Lepisosteus oculatus: one gene and its partners. The protein of the gene in region 1 interacts with the protein of each later gene in a biochemical or structural test. Links are inferred from orthologs where the notes say so. Each region holds a gene or a part of one and is shown in the gene's direction. Other genes may lie near its edges. The genes, in order: sh3gl2a, dnm2a and synj1.

Region 1 (8,064 bases):
CTCTGTCTCCTCTTGATTTCCTCTTTGATGTCTCTGCTCCTTGACAAATTCCTTCCTCTTCGCTCCTCATTGAGGCAGCTCCTGAGCCCAGCCCATCACCATCGCTAGATCCCCTTCCTCCGCTGATCTCTGATATCCCAGCTCCCCCTGAAATCCCTGCCTCTCCCCCCTCACTAATGCAGACCCAGAGCCTGGCCTGCCCCTGTCATCAGCACCATGCCCTCCTCTGCCCCCTCCCCCTGAAGAAGATCAGGAGAGATGGTGTGGGAGGGGTTGCTTCACAGCCTTATGGAGGAAACTGTTCAGCAGAAGGAAACCTAGGGAGCAGAGTCTTAGTGAATTACCGTAGTAAACCAAGGGCATTACTTTACATTCTGTTAAATAGCAATATTATTTGTATATTTGTTTCTCTGTGTTAAAGTCTTAACTTTTCCTTTATCATTGTTTTTAGGTATTTTGAAGGACAATTCTGAGGCATTTTCTCAACAACATACTAGAATAGTCTAGAGCACACTAGAAGCTCTTAATTTATTTGCTTTCTTCTGTATTTTTTTTGTAGATGAGGACTTGCGTAATAAAAGAATAAATATGTTTCAGTATAATTGTTTTTCTTAAAGGAGGAACTTGATAATTCCTATAAAAATAGAATACCAACAACATGAGCATTCTTTCCACTTGATGTTTTTGAGAGTTTTCAAAACATGGTGGAATTTCACCCATTTATTAAGGTAATACTGGACTTCTGAACAAACTGAAACTTGGTCTTGGATTACTTCAAAATAAGAATGCTCAATTAATTTACAGTACAATTCGTGTAAATTAATAATACAAGAAGTGTAAAGCTATAAAATGCTCAATTAAAAACATAGTGAGTTATTACACATGTAGTATAAATAAGACCTTCACAGACCAGTATATACTGAGAGACATTAAAACTCATATACTGTCTCTGCTAATAAAAAATAAGAGTCCTGCTTTGGTGTATAACAGTGTGTTCTAGTTTTTATTTTCTACATCTGTCTAAATCTCTTTTTTTCTCTGAGCTAGATAACAGAACTAAAAGTAATCCATCCAATCGGGGGCATAGTAGAGTAACCCTGCATGGTCAGACATTTAGTGAAGCTACAGTATGTAGCATGTTGTTTTCACTATGGGAATGAACCAGTACCAAGTAGAACATGTACACTCCACACAGAAGGACATCTTGTCAGAACTGAAACCAGAACTGAGGAAGTTCGATGTAGTAGCACTAATCATCATATTACCATGTTTCTGAGTACTACTGTAAATAGTTTGCTTTTTAGTATGTAAAACATTACAGCTCTCCTGTGTAAATCATGCATGAAAACAGTTTGGCCATGAACTGTTGCTAGCAATCACGAATGATAAGTTTTATCAGCCACCCCATCAGATGTGCAGGTTCCTAGAAAACATTAATTGGAGTGTTGTGTTGAGATTGTTGTTGATCAAGTGTTGTGACATTCAGAAAAACTTTTTTAGGTGAACGGTTTCATCTGAAGCCCTTTAAGGGGAACTGCAAGGCTATTTTTATATTTCGGGATTAGAAAGAATCAGCTAAACGTTTTAAAGGATTGTTATTTTATATTTCTTCTAATTGATTCATCAGAGCTCTCCAAGTTGGTCAGTACTGCATTGCACGAGCAGAGCTGCCTCCAGAAACTTACCTGCTGGAAACCACTGGAAGAAGAGAGATGATAGCAGGGTCACACTTAGCAAGAACACTCCGCTAACACCATTTTAGCAGGGAAGAATTGTCTCCCAACAAAAGCACAAAAGAACCTCAATATCGAAGTCTAATGGATATAACCAGATATTTTAATAAATAAATTATAGGAATCTAGACAAAAAACAAGGAATCATGATAAATGTAAATAAAAACAAAATGTGTCAATGTCAAAAATTAAACTTTTTTACAGAATGGGATATGACCTGCTCTTACTTACCCTATATGAATTTTCTTGACCAATTAGAAACTAGAGCAGTACATTTCAAGAGTGCCTTGGTCAGCCTTGATAAAAATGGCTGATTGTTCATTCAGTGATTACAAAAATAGTAATAATATCAGGGATAAAACACACTGATGCTAACATTTGTTAGCCTAAGTTAAAATCATTCATGTTTTCAAAGACAAGTAGATAGTGAAGTTACTTTGTCAAATGTGTTTGGAATAAATTCTTAAAACTACTAATGTGAACATGGAATTTTTACTCATCTGGTGAGGCTTGTCAATGTATCTTGTAAAGAGGTTTTTAAAATCCTACTGATAGACAAAACTGGGCTCAGTTCAATGTAGCTATGTTCAATCTCTTTCCTGTGGTGCAGGGAAATAGTGTTACTTAGCTTTGTGCTCAGCATTGCTCCTCTAGGAAAAAGTATCCACCTAATGTCACGCTGAGCTTAGCTTTCTAACAGTTCGTGCTCAAGGTCTGTCTCTGTTCCAGTTGAATGATTCAGATTGGCTAGCTGTTCACAAAATTTCCCTTGAATTAAAGTTAATTTTCTTGACTTGGACAATAGCATTCACGTAACTTTTTCTTTTTGAATTAAAAGAGGAGCAAGAAAGAGACAAAGTGAATGAAGTTCTTGGCATTACAATACCTTAAAGTGAGTAGTGATGGGTTGTGATGTCACCAGGTCCAGTTTTCTCATTGATAGGTCATCTTTTGGATGACTAACTGGTCTCCACTTCAGGCTTCAACTCAGATAAGTCACACCCCTGGTGTTCCAGATTGAAAGGAGCCATGATGGCTTGATGGTCAAAATGGACCCATAGTTTGTTTTAGAGTCAGGACATCCTGGTTATCAGAGAGGCGTACCTCAACATGGACTCCTAATGTCTAGAATCGGTGAGGGAGACTGCCAGAGGTTTTCAAAGCAACAGAAAGATTTCTACTAATCTTTTCTAAAACCTACTGTAATAATATGCCCCACTGTTTTATCCCTACGTATGAAACCATAGCTTGCAGTGCTGACACAAAGACCTCATCAGCCTCTGGACAGACTGCTGTGAGATGTTCTGCCATTGATCCTTTGGGCAGTTGACCAGCTAACAAATGGCCAGTTGCTCTTATTTACTACCGATAGCATTCACCTTAGTCCCACATATTCCATTGTATTCAGAGCAGACAAATCTGGCCATGTCAAGAAGTAGACAGTGGTTTCTTAAAGTCATTCCATTGTAACCTAGCACTGTGTGGTTTTCCATCGTTCTGCTGGAAAGTCAGGATTCTGGATGGGCTTATCTGTCTCAAGGACTTTTTAAATGTACAGCTAAGCAGTCAGATAGCTCTGAATCTGCAGGAGCCTGGATTCTAGGATCCCCAAAGGTGTTTATTCAAGTTAACTTAATGGAATTTTTCAGCATCAGCACAAGCCAGAAGACACAGGTGGAAAATACAGAGAGTTGCACTGGAATGTGACAACAGGAAGCTTTCTTAAAGTATTATATACAGCCATGGTGTCAAAGCATAGCATCTTTCCAAAATCAGGTGATGATATTAGATCTGTTAGCTACTGTAACAATTATGAAAAGGGCTAGAATGGCTGAGTAGGTTCCCCTTGTTTGTAACTGTTCTTAGTTCTGAAACTGGGATAATTGATGCTCTTCCGCCAGCAGCCATATCACCCTACAGCTCACAACTGGCAACCCACTGAAGCTAAGCAGGTGTGAGCCTGGTCAGTACCTGAATGGGAGACCTCCTGGGAAAAACTAAGGTTGCTGCTGGAAGATGTGTTAGTGGGGCCAGCATGGGGTGCTCACCCTGTGGTCTATGTGGGTTCTCATGCCCCAGTATAGTGACGGGGTCACTGTACTGTAAAAAGGTGCATTAATTTGGATGAGATGGAAAACTGAGGTCCTGACTCTCTGTGGTCAGTAAAAACCCTGGGCATTTCTCAAAAAGAGTAGGGGTGTAACCCTGGCGTCCTGGCCAAAGTTTCCCATTGGCCCTTACCAATCATGGCCTCCTAATAATCCCCATCTATGAATTGGCTTCATTTCTCTGTTCTCCTCCCCACTGGTAGCTGATGTGTGGTGAGCGTTCTGGTGCACTATGGCTGCAGTCACATCATCCAGGTGGATGCTGCACATTGGTGGTGGTGGAGGGGAGTCCCCATTACCTGTAAAGCGCTTGGAGTGGAATGTCCAGAAAAGCACTATATAAGTGTAAGCAATTATTATTATAAATGGGACAGTGGTTCCCAGAGATACAGGCTGCACTGGCACATATTAAAATATTCACACCTATACTAACCCTATACTAAATATTAATTCTAATGTAACATGGTTCTGGAGGGTTGCATGCTATCGGGTTTATAGGTTACTTCTAATCATTAGTGAGTAAAGGCATGTAAAAGTGGTAATACAGATAAATAATTTAACACTCGATTGCAATACATTGAGTTATTAAGAGCCAATAAGAGTCTGGAGTAATGAAAACCAGGGGACTGAAAATCCAGAATTAGATGGGTAGAATAACCTCTTTTCGTTTATAAACATTATTAACTTCTTATTTGGAAGAAGTTATTAAAGGAGGGAGATAGATATATTTTTATTTCAAAGAGGACACCTTGAATAGGTCTCGTTCAGAAATTACATTCGTTTTATATGATTTTTTTACACACGCGTTATTAATTTTCTTTTCTTCTGGTGCTCTTCATATCATTCGATGGTTATGTAATGCATAACGGTGTCAAGCTTCTTTTGAGCCTTTGCTTAAGCACATATCGTGTATTGTCTAAGGTAATTGCCGTAGTATTTTTAGTTGTTTGTAGTTGCTGTTTCCGCTGTGCCTTTAAGAGGTTGGTTATGGAGCAAGGTGACGTCACTGGCAGGTCACATTAAGAGTGACATTCAATAACCTGATCATAGCATTAGTCAGTCCCCGAGTCTGGAGATCCCGAGGAATTGAGCGCTTCAGCAAGGTCTGAACTGAGCATCTTGAACACTCTGCGACAAGAGCAAGAGTAGAAATCAGAAAACAAAGAACAGCAAACCGCTACATCTGAAAATGTCTGTGGCAGGACTGAAGAAGCAATTCCACAAAGCCACCCAGGTAAGTCTTCCTGTTGTTTATCCTTGGAATCGCAGAGGATGCAATGTTGTGCATTCCTGCAGGACGTGGGAATGCAGTAAGTGTTCTGTTTTGATGGAACACCGAGGAGACCCATTTTGACTCCTTGCTTGTTTTGGTTGCTTGGGTTTATAAATATATTTCTAATTTCCTATTGCACTAAGTCGTGTCTGCAATATATAATGTAGGGCACGTATTTAGACATGAAACCAAAAATTATATATAAAGAGAGCAGCTTTTATACGGCGAATCTGTGCGTTTTCTTCGGTAGCTCAAGGTTTCGAGTCTCAGATTCCATAGTGCTGGGTTATAACTGCAAATGTCTTTCGACAATTCCATTCACATTAGGTTCAGTTTACAAATGTGCTCCATCCCTTGATTTTTTTATCCCTTTTATTTTCCCTCTTTAAATAACATTATTGACTGTAGATGTTATTTAAAGTGTTAAATGTTAAATAAATAACATTATTGACTGTAGATGTAAACATTATTGACATTTTCTAAATATTGTGCATTCAGTACTGAAATATGGTTTTAGTTTTGGTAATGTGAAAATATAAAACATGAAAGAGAAATATAATAGTTTCGGTGCAATGTCATTGGTTTTCACCGAATAAAGATGAATATGCGGGAGACTACCCTTCAGACTGCATTTTTAAGCAGCAAAAATACACCCCCAACACTGAAATATCGTTTCCACTGTGATCAAGAAAAGCACAGACGCTTGTTATTTTATGGTCAAGCAGAATATTGGCTTATTATTATTTCGGTTTAATTCCAATATTTTGCCTTGTATACAACATTTTCTACTGATTTTTCTCCGTACACCAGCTGGTTTGTTATTTATAATAAGTATTGATGACTTATGTAAATAAAACAGTTTCACTGCCTTTCACTTTCACCTTAGCTTGAATTCACTGCTCTAGGTTTCAAAACTGTGCTTTGTGAAGATGACCTTTTGTTGGTCTTTGCTGCGTGAGTACATAATACAAGATGCTGTTGCTGTCCCAACTGAACATTGTTTTAGACATCATGAAACTGGTGCTATTTTATAACAGTACAACCGCGGGGTTTGGATTCCTGGGTTTTAAGTGCAGGTATTAACAAAGAGAAAACAACCACTGTCCTGTGAAAATGTATCCAAGCGTCCCATAACAAAAACTTCAGTAGCGTTATGTGGGTTAAAATAGAACTACAGTATGAGTCAGCGTCAGAGGTAATACAGTATTAGTAAAAAAATAAATGTGCATGATGTACAGTAACTGTTTTTGGTGCGTTCTTGTGTGCGCTGGGATATGCTATTTTGAAACTATCGTGATTGTATTTATTTAATTTTGTTCAAAGAAGTATCACAACATCACAACTGACTGTAACTGCGTTGTATAGCGTTACTGAAGCTGGGAACACAACCTCTTGAAATAGGAATTACAGCACAATGCATAGAAAATAATAAAACATCAACTGAAGAGCAGGGCAATATGACTAACAAAAGAGAAGTGACTACATTTTAGGAATTCACAGTAAAAACACTCATTTAAATACAGATGCTTTATATTAGATATCAAGGAGGGTTCTGTTCAGTATGAATTTTTGCTTAAACTCTTAGGGGAAAATCAACCACAAAAAACCTTTCGGTAGCAAACTGTCATCTTTCCCAATACAACAAAACAATCTGATGTTCAAAGCATAATGCTGACAGGTGATCATATTGAGGTTGTATTAATAAAAAAAAAGATAAAATTCCTCCTGTAAAAAACCTATAGAACTATAGCCCAGTACGGTGATCAAGGACACTACAGTTAGCTGTAGGAGATGCCATCCTTCATTGACATTGGTCTGTAAAGATCCCGTGGTACAGCTAGTAAAAACAGGGGTGTTAGCCCTGATTTCCTGACTAGTTTCCATTCTAAGTTTGGATAATGGGCCCTACCTGATAACACCTCAATTTCACACAGCATCCCCAGACTTGCTGTGTAGGGAATGCTGTTGCAGAATGGCTGCCACACTTCTAACTGGTGGGTGCTGCACTTCAGCAGTGAATGGAATCCTTCAGGATGAAAAGTATTGTACACCTGCAAACAATTGTTATTGTTATTGTACTCTTCATACAGTAGACATTATTATTAATAATAATGTTTTTCATTGAAGGGTGGCACAATGGCACAACAGTTAGCATCAATCCAGGGTTAAATCTAGGTCTGTGGTGCTAGATGTGCAGAGTTTGTTTGTTCTCCCCATGTTTTCTTCAGGTGCTCAGTTTCCTCTCACAGTCCAAAGACAAATTGGTAGCTTGACAGGCTTCTGGGAAAACTGGCCGTGGTGTGAGTGTGTGCGTGTACAGTATATGTGTGTGCCCTATGATAGACATCCAGGGTGTTTCCTGTGTTGGACCCGTTGCTTGCTGGGATAGGATCAGCTTTCTTTGTGACCCATTACTGAATCAAGTGGCTAGAAAATGGATGGATGGATTTACAGTGCCTTGCGAAAGTATTCGGCCCCCTTGAACTTTTCAACCTTTTGCCACATTTCAGGCTTCAAACATAAAGATATACATTTTTTATTTTATGTGAAGAATCACCAACAAGTGGGACACAATTGTGAAGTGGAACGAAATCTATTGGATTTTTGAAACTTTTTTAACTAATAAAAAAATGAAAAGTGGGGCGTGCAAAATTATTCGGCCCCCTTGCGTTAATACTTTGTAGAGCCACCTTTTGCTGCGATTACAGCTGCAAGTCGCTTGGGGTATGTCTCTATCAGTTTTGCACATCGAGAGACTGAAATTCTTGCCCATTCTTCCTTGCAAAACAGCTCGAGCTCAGTGAGGTTGGATGGAGAGCGTTTGTGAACAGCAGTTTTCAGCTCTTTCCACAGATTCTCGATTGGATTCAGGTCTGGACTTTGACTTGGCCATTCAAACACCTGGATACGTTTATTTGTGAACCATTCCTTTGTAGATTTTGCTGTATGT
Region 2 (7,380 bases), on another chromosome or scaffold:
ACTTTGCTCTTATCAGTGTTCTTACTAAATTTAATTGAAACCAAGACTTACAAAAAAAAATGACAGTTTGAAAGATCAGGGTTGCCAGCCCTGTTCTCAGAACACAGAAAGAGTCATCTGGTTGTCACTCTTAATAATTAAACTGGACCAATATGACATCACTCTCTTGACCTTCATTGGCTCACTGAATATGCCTATAGGGCCTGAAAGACTACAGGTGCCCCTGTCCTGAAGTTGGGGACCACTGTTTTAATTCATTAAATGCCTACTGGTAGCTGAATTTACCCTTCCTTCCAAGCATCTTGAACTCAACCACTAATCTCCCTAATTCAGAAGTTATTCAAAAGATAGATTGCAAGAGTTAAATTACAGTACCTTTATAACAATTTTAGAAACTGGGATTTAGGAAAAGTGTCAAATTGAGAATAAAATCATTAGTTTCATTCAGGGTTATCTGCCAGGGTTAAACAGAGCTTTATTTTATTGAAGAGGGACAGTGCACAGTTCTTAAGCTGCACCACAGTAAGCCTAAAAGCGAATTTACATCTGGAGTCCCTGGTTACAACACAATGAACAAAATACAAGACACAGACATTAAAAAAAAAAACATCTAGAGGCAAATCGGATGATAAATCGATATTACAAATGGTAAGGTGAACCGAAAAATTCCAAAACGATGGCATGTTGAATTAAAAAATTATCAAAGACCGCAAGAGTCACATTAGAAGACAATTAGGAAATGAAACATGACAGCTTAGACTATAAATAAAAAGCGAATAGTCAATGACATGATGATAGTCATTAAAAAAGACATCAGGATATTACAGATTACGTGACTTTCTTGCAAATGAAAAGTAGAAGACAAATCACTGGGCTTCCTATGAAAACATGGAACACTGGTATTCCTTAAGGAATACATATTGAGAATACATATTGTGTGCCTTGCAGCTCTGCATAATACACTAAGTAAGGAATCACCTGGGGACCGCTCAATTTCAGATACATTATGGAGTTGTAACACAGTCTACTTAATGGGTTCAATTAGTTAACTTAGTGAGCAAGGACCAGAAAACCCAGAAAACCCAGCAGACAGGAAAGGAATACTCAACTCTGGTCCTGAAAATCCCAACATCATTCCAGCTCAGTTCTCAGTTATTTTAATTAATTCCTTGATTGAACTGAATTTACTCAATTGTACTTGACACCATTGCCAATTGTTTAAAATGTGCAGTTTTTGTGTTACATTATAAAGTACAATAGTCAAAATGAAATCTCCGACAGTTTATGGCCTGAAACCCATCCCACAGGTCAAATGAATCATTCAAGAAAAAGCTAAAACAATGAAGAGCCTGAGAGAACGCCTGCAGATACCAGGGTACCCAGGACCAGCACTGGGAAGTTCTCCTCTTGGAAGAATTTTGAGCACAAGTGCAATCAAACAAAGGTCAAGGGCACGAGCAGATAGTTATATCTTAAGGCCGCATGGAGACGTCTCTACCAAGAACCTGTGTTTTACAGCACCGAGGGCGATTAGGTCTGGGTAAACAGGCGCTAACACTATCACTCCAAGATTTGCCCGGGCAGGTAGGTGCCTCCTGTTAACATTTGAGCTTGACATGTTTACTGAAGGGGTGGCACAGTGGAACACTGGTTAGCATTGCTGCCTTGCAGTGCAGTGGCCCTGCGTTCAATTCCTGCAGTGCTATCTGTGTGGAGTTTGGATGCTCTCCTCATTTTAGTTTGTGGGGGTTTCTTCAGGGTGCTTCCGATTCCTCCCACAGTCCAAAGACAATCTGATGGGTTAGTTACCTTGTGGGAAAATTGGCCCTGGTGTGCGTGTGTGTGTGTCTGTTTATGATTGTGTGTCAGACCTTCAATTGACTGGTGTCCCATAAAGGGTGTATCCTGCCTAGCTTGTCCGGAGAGTCTCTAGCTCCCCCAGTGCCCGTGACCTTGAAGTTCATAAACTAATTAAAAAAACAGATGGATGGGTGTCTACTGAAGTTTTCCCATGTGTCCCTGAAGGTGATGGCTCACAGTTTCTTTGTTCAGCCTTTTTCTAAAAATGCTAGGATAGATCACAGGGTGTCCTAGGAGGCTGTGCAATGCAGGTGACTCAAGGCAGCTCTGCTGAAAGGTTGAAAGGAGTTCCTGTCTCCCACCATCCTTTGTGTAAAATGTGCCTCCTGCTTTTGTTTATAAAGGCACTACGGTGTTTAAGATTGTCTCAGCAAAAAGAGTTGAGATCAATATTGAAGTAGTTATATACTGGTTTTATGTAGAAAGGGCCTGATATTTAATCTTGGTTTTCAATAAGCATATTTAACCGAAGAGCATCGATCAGATCTGAATTATGAAACAGTTTAAGATGTTTTTTATATATCCCGTTTTCTCATTTATTTTTTGATGTTTCTCGAGTGAGCCATGAATACAAGATTAAATTTACTAAACCCTCTCTGAAGTTTATTCGGTATTGATATTTTACAAAAATTAAAATGATGTCGCGCTACTGGAAATGCGCTTCGCATAATGATTTCCCTTAGTTGTAGTGTAAAGCTGTAGTATGTAATGGTTAAGCGCGCTCTGTTGGCTGGGTTCGTCAGCGTTGTGCACAGTCATACTGAAACTGCCCCACCATGTGGCTCTCAATGAGATAGCTTTGGGAGAAAAAATACAGAGTTAAATATGTGAAATCTACACAAGCTCAAGACCTCCTTTGTTATTTTGGGACCTCGTATGATAAACAGAAAACGTGCCGTTGAAGTTGGAACTGGCAAAAACGTTCAGAGACAGAAACAGTCTCTGAGATCCAAAGACCAAAACCGTTAGAAGTAAGAAAAGTCATGAGAGACTCATTTGGATTATTGCAGTTAATTAAGCAGGGGATGTCTTGGTGTCGTTGATTGACAAAAAGCAAGAGTATTGGCTTCAGCATCCTGGCTGGTAAGATTGTTCTAGGCTCCCACTACTCTTTGTGCATATGAGTGCCACTTTTTCTGTGTTAAAAGCACTTCACCTACAGTAAGTTTCCCTTGGTGTACTCTGGTTCGTGTTTCCCTGTTGATTTTGAAGACTTTTTATAGAATCAACTTCTATAATTTTTTTAAAACTGCTGCAGGGTTTAAAAAAGGTGTTCTCGATAATTTTAGCTGAAACGCTGCTTGTACCCTTAAGCAAGTCGCATCACTCAGGCTACTCCAGCGTCAAACCGAGCAAATTGATAATGACCATGTCATCACAGTAAGCGAGAATTCGTTTTCAAGTGGTTTATCTGGTTAAACTGAAGTGAGGTTGCGTCAAGTGGCCTCTGATAAAAGTTCATCCTTCATTTTCTAAACGTTTTATCGAGCTTGCTGAGAACGACGGACTCTAACCCAGTAAGCAACAGGCGCAATAGCGGATACACCAAAGGGGACGCCAGTCCATCACTGGGCATACACAGATACAGGCTCCCACACCAGTGCAAGTTTTCCCAAACGCCAATTAACCTGTCAGCACGTTTTCGGACTGTGGGAGGAAACCAGAGCACCCAAAGGAAACCCACGTGAACGAAGGAAGAACATATAAACTCAACACAGACAGCAACCCAAGTCAGGAACTGAACTCAGTCAGAGCCCCACTACTAACCACTGCGCAATGCTGCCCCTGTTAAATGTCATTCACCACTATGAGCAAAAACATGTTATGAAAATAATCAAGTATATTGGCTTGCCAGTAATTTAGAAATGACGCAGGTCCGGCGTTCCTCTGGTCGCTTTGACTAAAGGCACATTCTACCTAAAAATATTTTTTTAACAACACAGTTGCTCGGTGGGTTATTTGTTGAAAAGTGTGTATCAGGTACAAAAGAATATAAACTCTTAATTTACAGCTGATGGTCATGGTGAAGGGCTCAATAGATTAAATTAAGTATTAAACGCATCAGTTTTATATTTCCCATCGACGAGTATGTTTTTATAATTTATAAAACAGAAGCGAGGCTTCTAGTGTAAAATAATTAACGAAATATAGCCTCTTATTCTTTCTGGGGCAACAGATCGGTTTAGAAAGGTAAATTTAGAAAATAAATTTAGAAAGGTTGTGTGTAGCTTCTAACGCAAACACTCATCGTACTGAAATCTTGGCTGTATTCCTGGGGTAGAAGAAACAGTCAAAGGCTAAAATGATTGACGTTCCAGATGGCCAATAGCGATGCTTTTTACAACAGCACCGCCCGAAATTTAAGACCACGCCCTTACTTACAAGACGAGGAAATAAACTATCCACCAATCGCCGGCCACTTCGAGAAGACGGGCATGCAAATTCGCCAGTGGTTTTGCTCCTTTTGCTTGACAGGAGGCGTGGTCTCTATCAGCAGCGGAGGTTGGGGTGTCGGCTGACCGGATGAGAGAAGTTTTGTTTCTGTCTGTTGGAGTTCTCCGTGTGTATGTTTGCGCTGCCATTTACGGCTGACTGGTTGAATTATTTTTGATCCCCGTTACCAGAGTTGGTGTGAACATACAGAGCTTTTTTTTTTACCAAATAAGTGAGAACCCGAGTGCGCAGCCATGGGGAACCGGGGGATGGAGGAGCTCATTCCCCTGATTAATAAACTTCAGGACGCTTTCAGTTCCATCGGGCAAAGCTGCAACCTCGACTTGCCGCAGATCGCCGTGGTCGGCGGGCAGAGCGCTGGCAAAAGTTCAGTCCTGGAAAACTTTGTCGGCAGGTAAGCCGTTTTTTAAAAAGCCCGTTTCCATTTCAATTCCAACCAGAATCTGGCGGCTCGGCGGAGCGATTTCCTTGTTTGAAAAAAGGTGTCCGTTTCCCGTTTAGGAGCAAGTGACATTCACAAACAGCGTTTGCGAACCTATCGCCAGGCTGCAGGTGGAAGCGAGGGTATTGCCAGTGAGACAGCGTAAATTACGCTACTGCCGTATCTCGCAGAGTGTGCGGAGCTGTGCGGACTGGGGCTGGGAGGAGAAGAAAGGGTTGTCCGAGGAGTTACGCTGGGGAAAAAGTGCGGAAATCTGTTACACCATGACGTAATTACTAGTGGAAGGACACACAAATACTCGTCCTTCTAAAAGTTTTTTCCCCAGTCATGAGTTATTTTTGTATTATTTTTTTTAAACTAACAAATTTTCTTTTCACCTCAGCCGCCCAGCTGCTCTGTCCCCAGGGGATCCGGATCCCTGATTCTGTCTCCTTTGTTGTCCCGGATACCGGCATTTTAAAATAACCTTTAATATGTAGCAAACACAGAACCGGCACATATGCTAGAAATTAAACTTATAAATGCTAAAATGTTTGCGATTTACCGAGAAGTGACTATCGTAGTTCTGCAATAATGAATGACTTCGAGTTGGACGGCTGTTTTTTTATTTCGAACACTTTCAAAAAGCAAGAATGTTGTCTGTCGAAATACTTGTCGAGTCCGTCAAAATGCTTTTCTTTATTCAAAAGCTATTAACATCAAGGTGTTGTTTTAAAGTCGGCTTTGTTCGTTCGAGTCTCTTATCCCTTACGTTGCTGAAACGGTTTTATAAAATATAAGCTGTCTTTTCCGATACACCCTTCACGTTTTTTATTATTGAAAACAGTAACCCACCTTTACTGTCAGTATGAAATACATTTTGATAAACTTCCTAATTAATTATGGTCATACGCAAAGTATACATATTTTACAATATTCATATTTATAAAATGCCACTATATGAGAACTAGCTGATTGCCAGACGTGTAGACGGTATGATTGCTGATGGCTAAAATAAGCGATTGTAACTATCGAACTGGTAGCTTCAAAGGAAGAAGTAAAGGTAAATTCCACCTCGAAAAATAGAAAAGAGAAACGCAGTTTGGGCTTTTGTGCCTTCTTCAGGTGTGACACCTCTTGTTTTTTTTAGCGTGGAATTAACATTTACTGGTATATCACCAAAGTCAGACACATCTACTCGACCAAATTCTCCTTTATATGTAAAATAGTCGTTTTTAGATTCGGAACTGGTTGCACCAGTTAAAAAAAATGCAGTTGACAGGTTTTTTTTTAACGTGGTCCTGCTACCATTCCAATGGATATTTTCTCCTTGTAGAACCTGTGACACCTGTCGCACCTGTGACAAAAGAGTTTTTGAAGCTTTCTGTTTATCCCTCACCTTGAAATTTGAATTTCCTTCAGGAGTTTCCTTAAGAAAGGCTGCACTACCCTGATCTTGGCTAGTGACCTAAACTCAATTGTTGGTTCATATTTCTTACTGTGAGTTCAAAGCAAATTTTGATGTACAGTATTTAAAAGAAAATCCTAATTGGGCAGCTTCTGCTGTCACAAATTGGCTCCAGTATTTATGTCACAGAGCCTTATTATGTATCAAAAAGAGGTACAGCCAACATTCTTCAGTTTGTGTTTATGTATAACAGTGGACATCCCAACACAACCACGTAATTGTCCTATATAATCGGTCACAGTGAATAAGCAGTGCTTATTTGACCACAACACGGGCTATATCCTACAGAGCTTTAAAAATGTGTTTTTTTTAGCCAAAATTATATTTTTGTCTGATTTCATCTTAACTGTTTCCAAGTGGAGAATGTTGTATATGCATATGTTGTAACTTCTTGGGTGCACCTGCATACTGTTGGACTTCATTTTAGAAAATTGTGGTCAAGGAGTTTTGTTTTGGATGGGAGGAAGGTTAGTAATTAGAGGAGGCTGTTTGACCCATTCCGCCAAATGACGTTTGGTAGTTGGTACTTAATTGATCCCAGGGACGTGGCCAGCCATTTATCCAAAGAAGCCAGAGTATCGGCTTCAACATCATGGCCAGGGAGCTTGTTCCATACTCTCACAACCCTTTGTGTAAAGAGCTCACATTTAAATGCAGTGAGTTTGAATGGACAATGTGGTGTGCCTGTTGCCTGTATTCTGTTTTCAAAAGTCTAGCTAGACAGTGAAATCTCAAAAAATACATCTTGTAAAGGGCTTTATATGTTCAGAAGGGTGTAAGATGAGCTATGGAAATGAGTCCCTGGTCCTAACCTGGGGTGTTTGCATTCTTTGTCTGCAGCTAGAAGTGGACTTGAAGGTTTTGTAAACTGGTGCCTGACTCTAAAATACTGAATATCTGTACCATCCTGTCCTCACAATGTACTGGGATTATGAAGTATGCCTTCTTTATTCTTAAGCAGCCATATCACTCTGCAACACACAACTGGCAACCCACAGAAGCTAATCAGGTGTGAGCCTGGTCAGTACCTGGATGGGAGACCTCCTGGGAAAAACTAAGGTTGCAGCTGGAAGAGGTGTTAGTGGGGCCAGCAGGGGGCGCTCACCCTGCCGTCCATGTGGGTGCTAATCCCCCAGTGTAGTGATGGGGACACTATACTGATAACAGGCGCCGTCCT
Region 3 (8,022 bases), on another chromosome or scaffold:
AAACTACAAATAGTATTAATATAAGTAACCGCGGCTTTTTTGTATATAAAATACTCTATGTATTTTTCCTAAATTGTATAAAAAATATCGGTTTTGGCTTCACGTCATCGCGAATTAAGATTTTAATTGTATCCTTTAAATATTTTGATTTAAACACTTTTAATCCACATTCTGATTTAAAATACATTTGTACATTTAAATACATATCTGACAGCAGTAGCCCAGAATCTGCCTATTTGTGTGATCAATATGCAGTGGAAAGAGTGCATTCAGAAGATGGTTGCACACTTTTATATTCAAACTGTGTTACAGTGTTAGATCTATAGCCAGATACTTGAATTGAACCAAGACACACCAAGAGTAAAACATTTGTTGCTGTATTTTGGTTAAAGGTGTCAACTACTATTGTATTTCTTCAAATAATGTGTACAGTAGTGACAATGTTTTGCACTGGATTTTTTTCAGTAAAATATCTCGAGACATTTTGCATGAGTACCTTAATGTACCTCTTACATTGTTTTGAAGGTTCTGTAGCTGATATAATGCAGTTTCTATATGCAAATAATAATTTTAAGCAAAATCAGTCAATTTATGAAACATGTCTTATCACGAAAGTCACTATTGTGTCTGAAACAATTGTGGCTAGCAAACCTCCTTAGCTCTCAACAGTGAATCAGAGAGAAAATAAAGAGCATAGTGTACAATGTGTAATCAGAAAAACTCTATACTATGCTAAAGCTATTTAATGTTGCTAAGCTTTATCTTGGCTCAGCTAGAGATGTGTTGTCAATTTCTTCCTTGATAAACACCTTTGTGAAATATGACTTTAACTAATTCCATATATTAGCCAGGTTACTTTTCTTGGAAGACAGTGTAACATACTGTAGTGGGTCAGTTTCTGGACTGGTGGGTTAAAGTCCCTGAGGCGTACTTTTTGCAGGGTACTTTAACCTGATTGCTCCAGGCCACCCAGCTGCTCTCTGGTGAACTGGCTTTCTGTCCACTGGGGGCTGGAGTCATGTGCTCTCTATTTGCTTAATGTCATGAAAATCGTGATTAGCTCTGGGCTGATGGTCCTTTGCAGTTTCAACATGGAACTACCAATGTTATCTCACTCTTCCTGAGGCATCCTGCTTCATCCTTTACTGTTCATCTGCTGTTGTTATCCTGAAAAATACATTATATTAACGCTTTATTCTATTCTGTCTCTTGCTCAACCATCCTACTAACCTAGTTTTACCTATTTTGCAATTCAGTGCACTCCTTTTCTCTAACTGAATAAATATTTTTTTTTCAATTATGTTATATATTGCTCCCTTTCTCATTATATACTATTGGTCTTCGATTTTCCTATTCTTAGGTAGAATCTGTTTTATGTTTCAAGAAAAATATCTTTAAAGTGCCCTCTAGTAACGGGGCTTCTGTCTTGACATCTTTTCACAGCTCACAAAACAGTCAGGAAGCCAGACTTCACAGAAGGCCACAATCAGTATCCCTCCACTTGCACTTGAAGGGGAACTGTAGTCCTAATTTCTCAGGCCGGTTATTAAACCTCAATTATAAAATAAATTAATTGATAGTATGGCAAAATTGAAGATATTCCGAATTAAACACAAAATTGTGAACTATGAAAGTACTGTCACTATTTTTGTAGAGAGTTCATGAGAATTGTGAACCGGCTCTTCCTGCTCTCTAGTCACTCTAATGACTAATGTACAGTAATGCGATGCATGAGTGAATAAGTACAGGTTGTGCAGCAGACATTTCACCTGAGAAATGTTCTAACGTGATCTGTATGCAGAGTTAATAAATAATTAGTATTTGACTGCGAAACTGTCTCAAAGTGGAGAGCAATATTTCTGCTGGATTAAAAGTAATGTACCTGTATTCACAAATCTGCTTGTTTACAATGTAATAGAACCGCTTCACTTCACTGGATGTTTTGCTGGCTTGTTCTGAATCACAGAATATGGTGCTGCACATACCTGGAAATGTAGTCTATTTTGTGATGTAAAAAGGGGGTTTTACATGTTACTATGTACATTTTACATTCATTGTGATTTGAAATGCACTTATCAATTCTGATTCTTTCAAACACCGAAATACACACATAGCATTGAGTTTCCCCTTTAATTTCATGTTCTGACTGTATATGTTGACCAGGTAAATCAGAGCTTTGATCATGATGCATTTTTTATCCAATCTGAAGTGTACCAGCACATGCACCAAGAATCATGACTCTTCTAATGCCATAAAAACCTTATTTTCCAAGGCACAGCACACTGGGGAAATCTGCATATACAGTACTGTACTTCCTGCAAAAGAACAGAAAATGCTTGTATGTCTCCTACTTTCTCCTAAATTGTCATATGGGTAATAATTAAATAACATTATGAATTAGAAAAGATCCCTTTGTAAATACTCTAGTTCATTTCTGCTTTATTCACATAATTAATCCCAAAAAGAATTGCTTAAAATAATCTCTAAATTACTGAAAGTAACTGTAATCGTATTATTGTCAAAAAAGTGTAAGAGATGACCTTTACCCGGATTTTGAGCTCTTATTACAATTAAAACAGTAACTGGTAACCCATTGCCTTCCAACACTGCTTTGAATGCAAGAAACAACTTTATAAACACCTTTATACAGTACATTTAGCAAATCAGCCAAACAAAATGAAGGGCAGTAATTTTGACCTTATAAACCTTAACAGAGGTTTTGGACTTTTCCAGGACTTTTTCCAACAGTAAACAGAAACTGGATAGCACAATGTAAAACGTAAGAATGTATTTTGGAGTAAGAACGAGAGCTGCCTCTTAACTCAAAAGAACAGGATACACATCTTTACACAAAGGTGTGTGTACAGTTTCGAGCCACATTGCTTATGCTGTTACCCAGCCTTACTTCAGGAGCAACTTGCCAAACTGTAACTACTACAGTAGGTCTACCCCTGCTCTGAATAGCCTGTCCACATATTGTAGGTCTTGATTCCTGGCTAACAACCAGCTGTAAACCAAACCTCTTCCAAACACACTTCAGATGTGTGTACCTTACTGACTGACTCCCAAAGTACTTGTTCTGGAGGGTAATGAGTGGCCAATATATTCTAGTGCCCTGGTAACCTCCCTTTTCTCTCTGACCTGTCAGCACGTACTGTAGTCCACCAGTCAGGACCTGTCTTCACTTAAGTCCTCCTGCCTGTGATTTAAAAGACACCATAACTATGAGTGGCTTCAGTGATGCAGATTATTACATCATACTAATTGATAAAAATTTAAAGCACTTTTTCATAAGATCAACTATGAAACTGTAACAGGAAGTTGTTTGGCACAGTAGGCGGATGTATTAGCTTAATCACGCAGGCTAGTGTGCCACTATACGGAATCGTCCCATTGTTGTTTTCAGACATAAACCAATTTAATAGCAGATTCAGTTTTGGTTTATTCTTTACACGAGTCTATCGTACTAGACAACCACCTGTGACACCATCATCTGACTGGAAGGGACCTGCAAGCACGTCACAACTGACAGACAGTTTAGCGGAAACGTAGAAACACTACAGGAAGTACTCCAGTGGGTTTGTGGGAAATGTAGTTCGCGTTTGGTAATACAACATCTTAAGGCATCTAGAAGTATACCGAGTAGTTTTCTGGCCACGGCTCTCTAAAGTTCATATTAACCTGGGTGCCCACACAGGCAATGTATAATAACATATAATGGGTGCTATTAGTAATAATTAAGACAGAGTTACATACCCATTTTCAATAACTGCTTAGTTTCCAGCGTTCCCAGGTCCTAAGGCGCTACTGTGAGGCAAAAAAACTGAAGTAAGAACATAAGATTAAAAAGGAGAGGGTGGTATTTGACTTGTCCAGCTCTTTAGGACTCTCTTAGCTATTTGAACTCTGCACTCAGGCGCGTCATGAAGGAAACATGAGTTTAAAATTTCAGCTTAAACAACATAGCTGGGTAAGTTCTTCTATACTTCCACAACCTTTGAAATTTTCTCCTTTTATCAACTTTAAATGCACATTTCAATGTAGTCAAGCAGGATTTGGTGACCTGAATATTTTTTCACCCAGCTTTTGTTTATTAATTGAAGAATGAGAAAATATACTAGTTATATCTGATTATTTACAGAGCAAAAACATAATGTTTCCAAGAAGGACAAAATATCAGTCCTCCACCCCCGAGGCCTAGTACACAGTGAGTCTGCAATATGTGCAAACATAAAATATAAAAAAACTAGCTGTATTATGATTAAAGATATCAGTTTTAGTTTGCACGTGTGTTTAATCTTTAATGACAGTTTTCGAAACTGGGCTCTCACTCTATCAGATTATCTTGAAAACCCTGATTCTTACAAAGCAAGCGCATTCCTTAAAAAATCTTTCTTTCAAAAGTTTTATTGAACATCAAATTATGCAAAAGAGAAAGGGTATCCAAAAATATAAGTGAACAAAAAACGCAGAACAAAGGTATAAATTTGAGCACAATAACTTAAATTTCTTGCATCAGTTACAACAGATTTGTTTATATATATATATTTCAAGTTTTTAATGGAAGTAATACTGCATTTCCACCTCATAAGCATTAAAAGGGGAATTAGACCCCTTATTAGCATAAGTCTTAGCGTTAGACCATTTTGTTCTATGAGCGTTCCTCACAAACCTGGGATGCCCGTGTGTGCCGGGTTATACGGTTACGCAGGCGGAACCGTGCGCTGCGGACGTTTGACGTCGCCTATTGGCAGTGGGAGGGCAGGGACTCTGTGGTCTCGGAGATCAGAGGCTGGTAAATCCGGCGGAGACAGCAGTGGGACGGTGAGGAGATTTGAAAATATCATTATATGAAATACCTGTAAATCGTTTTCTGCGATACAGACCATTTTCGCTGGCCTGCGCGATTAACACCCGTGCGTGTCTTTGCGTGACAGATGGCCTTTCACTAAAGAGCGTACTGGGCTTAGTGAGGAGGCGAAATGCACTAAAATACTTCATAACAGGATACTGTAGAAGCAAAATGAAGCCGGAAGACAAGACGGTGTTATAAATCAAAGAGATGCGTGAAAATATGTGGTTTCAGTGATTGCCATAAGTTAGAGTTAGGAAATGTCATTTTAATATTGGTAAACCAGTTTGAACGTCAGCATTTTAATCTTTGTGTTTGATTTTATACATATCAGTATACGCAGCTATTTATGTTGTCAGAGCAGCAGGACCTGGAGTCCCATTGTAATTTCGTATATTGTATAGCCGCCAGCCATTCATTATCATATTGGGTTTATGCTCAAGGGTGGTGTCTTCTGGCCTGTATCACGCAAAGGGCCTGAATTGATTTTGCGTGATTAGAATGAAACGCCAGTCTGCGATTTTTTTGTTTACCTAACTGAAGGTTAATCGGTGCGAGTTCAAATCACCCAAACACAGCAGTGGAGCAAGATTACTGTGCGCGTATCCTATGTAACTGCAAGGGGGCGAACTGTATATGATTTCCTGCTGTCAGATTTGTTAGAACTGGTGGTGTGGTAAGTGACAGTTCCTGCAACGCGCGATTGACACATTCTAGTCAATTCAATGCTGTTGGCCTGAGAGTCATGGCTTTCAAAGGTAGTAGCTGGAGGCCGGTGCAAATGTATTTATTTAATTTTAGGGATGTCCAGACTACCATGTTTCATCTGTCCTGGAAATTGGGGATATTTAAACAGTCCTAGCTGCTTCTTTTAACATCAAGTTAACAGATACCCAACCTGGCAGATTTCCAGTATTGGATATGACAGTAATACGTCTGAAGCACAACACCGTGATTGAAATATAGACACTATGATGGCAATAATATAGACAATAATGGCACTTTGAGCTGAAGCACTTGAGAGTTAAGCCTTATCTCCAAGGCAGCTTGCTAGAGTCTCATCCATCCACCGTTCGCCATCCATTTTCTAACTGTTTGATCCAATTCTGGGTCATGGGGGAGCTGGAGCCTGTACCGGCAACACTGGGCACAAGGCAGGGTACACCCTGGACACACACATACACAACAGGGCCATTTTTCCTGCGTGCCGATTAATGTACCAGTGTGTTTTTCAACTGGGAGGAAACCAGAACACCTGGCAGGTGTTCTAACATGCTAACACGAGAAAAACAAACTCCACACACATAGCACCCTGGTCTGGAACTGAATCCAGGGCCCTGTGCTGTGAGGCAGCAGTCCTCACCAATTCACCACCATGTTGTCCACTGGAGTCTCATATGAGTTAAAAAATATAAGAGGTTGTAAATAAGACAAGATCACTTGACTCATAGCTCAGTGGTGCGAAGGTTTCATCTAACTGTTTCTTGTAGAAAACTAGTGTATTAGCTTTAGAAACATACAGTAGCTACTCAGCTTGTGCCATACTCCCACAATTCTCTGTGTAAAGGATCACTTCCAGTTCTCAGTTTTTAAGTGCACTGCCCTGCAGTTTCCACACGTGTCCTTACTTTGTTTTTCTGTTGATACTGAAAAAAATCCATTGATCTTGAAAAGCATGAGGCAGGTCCCCTAGAAGATCTTTCTGTTCCAACCTAAAAAGATTCAGTTCTTTTTTTTATTTTATTAGAGCAGACAGCAAGGGGACCTGATGCTAGTGTTTAAAAAGGCAGTCTACAACTCCATGAGGCTGAATCGTGGGTGTTTTCTCTCTGGATCATCAGAAGCTGCAACCCTGTGTTTTGGCGATGATGAATCAAGGGTTCATCCTTCTGCTAATGATGGATATGCTCACCTCCAGAGAGCCCAAGGAGAAAAAAGTGCCCACTGCAACACTGCTCAGTGGGTTTCTTCCAAAGGCAACTGGCTCATAGCGTAGGAGGTGGACTGTGTTGGAGTTTAGCAGGGTCCTGGAGAGATTTTAGCAGATAGGGCTTCAGCTCTTTGGCTCTGTCTGGGACACTGGTGTGATCGTTAGTCACACTAGATTATATTATCTTACCTGCCAGGCTAGCCATGGGTTTCTGCAGGCTGGAGATTGTAGGGAAGTCTACAACGATGGAGGGGCAGGCTTGTGTGAACTCGTAGGTATCGCATCAGGGCTGCAACCTTGCATGCAAATTATAGTTTACAGTTTCATTTTACAGTTTACAAGTTGCAATTCCAGTCACACTTGCAGATTAAGATGGAAGACTTTAGACATTGTCTACCTTCCAGGCTGCATGAAGTATTGGGGCTAGTATTAGTTGATCCTGAATTTCACATCAAGTCTTTAGAGATTGATAGTTGATAGTGTTTTGATTGGGCAGTGCTGTCTGATGTGAAATGAATGCATTGGTTCAAGCGAGGACAAATGATTGTTTCCCAGGAAAAATATTTGATTGGCCACTTGTTAGAGACAAAATACAAAAACTGAAAAACTGATTTTTCAGAATCAGACTGCATTTTTTAAAATAAGGCCATTGTAAAAAATTATGTTCTTTGAATAATTTACATTTCCTTATACTTTATTGGAAATCTATTCATTTGGCAACTTTGATTGCATTTATTTTTAGAGAACAGAGTTTTATTTTTGTGGACATTTCCCTTGCAAATGAAGGACCATTTCCAGTTGGCATCTGACAGGCGTAAGGTTATAAATCATACAAAAATGAAAAAAGTGTTTTTGCAAAACATCAGAATCAAGAGTAATTAATAGTCTGCCTTATGTTACTTTTATCGCATTTGTATTGCATATTTTTATAAATCTTGGGTTCAGTTTGAAGTGGGACCTGAAACCTGCAATCGTAAATATTGACCAGATTTGTACGTCTGGACATTAGTTTTTTGAGAAAATCTGATTGCGTTCGTCTTGGATTGAGGCTTGAGAAATTGAAGGTTTCTCTTTTCTGCTCTTTCAGGTGTGTTTTAATATCTTAAAAAGAGAAGAAGAAAAAGATGGCCTTCAGCAAAGGATATCGCATTTATCACAAACTGGACCCACCTCCCTACAGCGTGATAGTGGAGACGAGAAACCGAGAGGAGTGCCTGCTGTTCGAGTCGGGAGCTGTTGC

Evidence for each region.
Region 2: the proteins of sh3gl2a (region 1) and dnm2a interact in a biophysical measurement, tested with the Homo sapiens proteins (2 studies listed by BioGRID and IntAct, with this or other methods). The link is inferred for Lepisosteus oculatus from reciprocal best matches to the Homo sapiens genes SH3GL2 and DNM2.
Region 3: the proteins of sh3gl2a (region 1) and synj1 form a complex in vitro, tested with the Homo sapiens proteins (2 studies listed by BioGRID and IntAct, with this or other methods). The link is inferred for Lepisosteus oculatus from reciprocal best matches to the Homo sapiens genes SH3GL2 and SYNJ1.

The regions. Positions count from the first base shown.
Region 1 is NC_090696.1:58,813,194-58,821,257, forward strand, and holds the start of sh3gl2a (SH3 domain containing GRB2 like 2a, endophilin A1), read left to right. Parts: upstream 1-4,867; 5' UTR 4,868-5,030; coding exon 5,031-5,075; intron 5,076-8,064. UniProt on the Homo sapiens protein: Implicated in synaptic vesicle endocytosis. May recruit other proteins to membranes with high curvature. Required for BDNF-dependent dendrite outgrowth.
Region 2 is NC_090706.1:19,999,598-20,006,977, reverse strand, and holds the start of dnm2a (dynamin-2), read left to right. Parts: upstream 1-4,368; 5' UTR 4,369-4,547; coding exon 4,548-4,708; intron 4,709-7,380. UniProt on the Homo sapiens protein: Catalyzes the hydrolysis of GTP and utilizes this energy to mediate vesicle scission at plasma membrane during endocytosis and filament remodeling at many actin structures during organization of the actin cytoskeleton.
Region 3 is NC_090700.1:19,989,616-19,997,637, reverse strand, and holds the start of synj1 (synaptojanin-1), read left to right. Parts: upstream 1-4,741; 5' UTR 4,742-4,824; intron 4,825-7,869; 5' UTR 7,870-7,906; coding exon 7,907-8,022. UniProt on the Homo sapiens protein: Phosphatase that acts on various phosphoinositides, including phosphatidylinositol 4-phosphate, phosphatidylinositol (4,5)-bisphosphate and phosphatidylinositol (3,4,5)-trisphosphate. Has a role in clathrin-mediated endocytosis.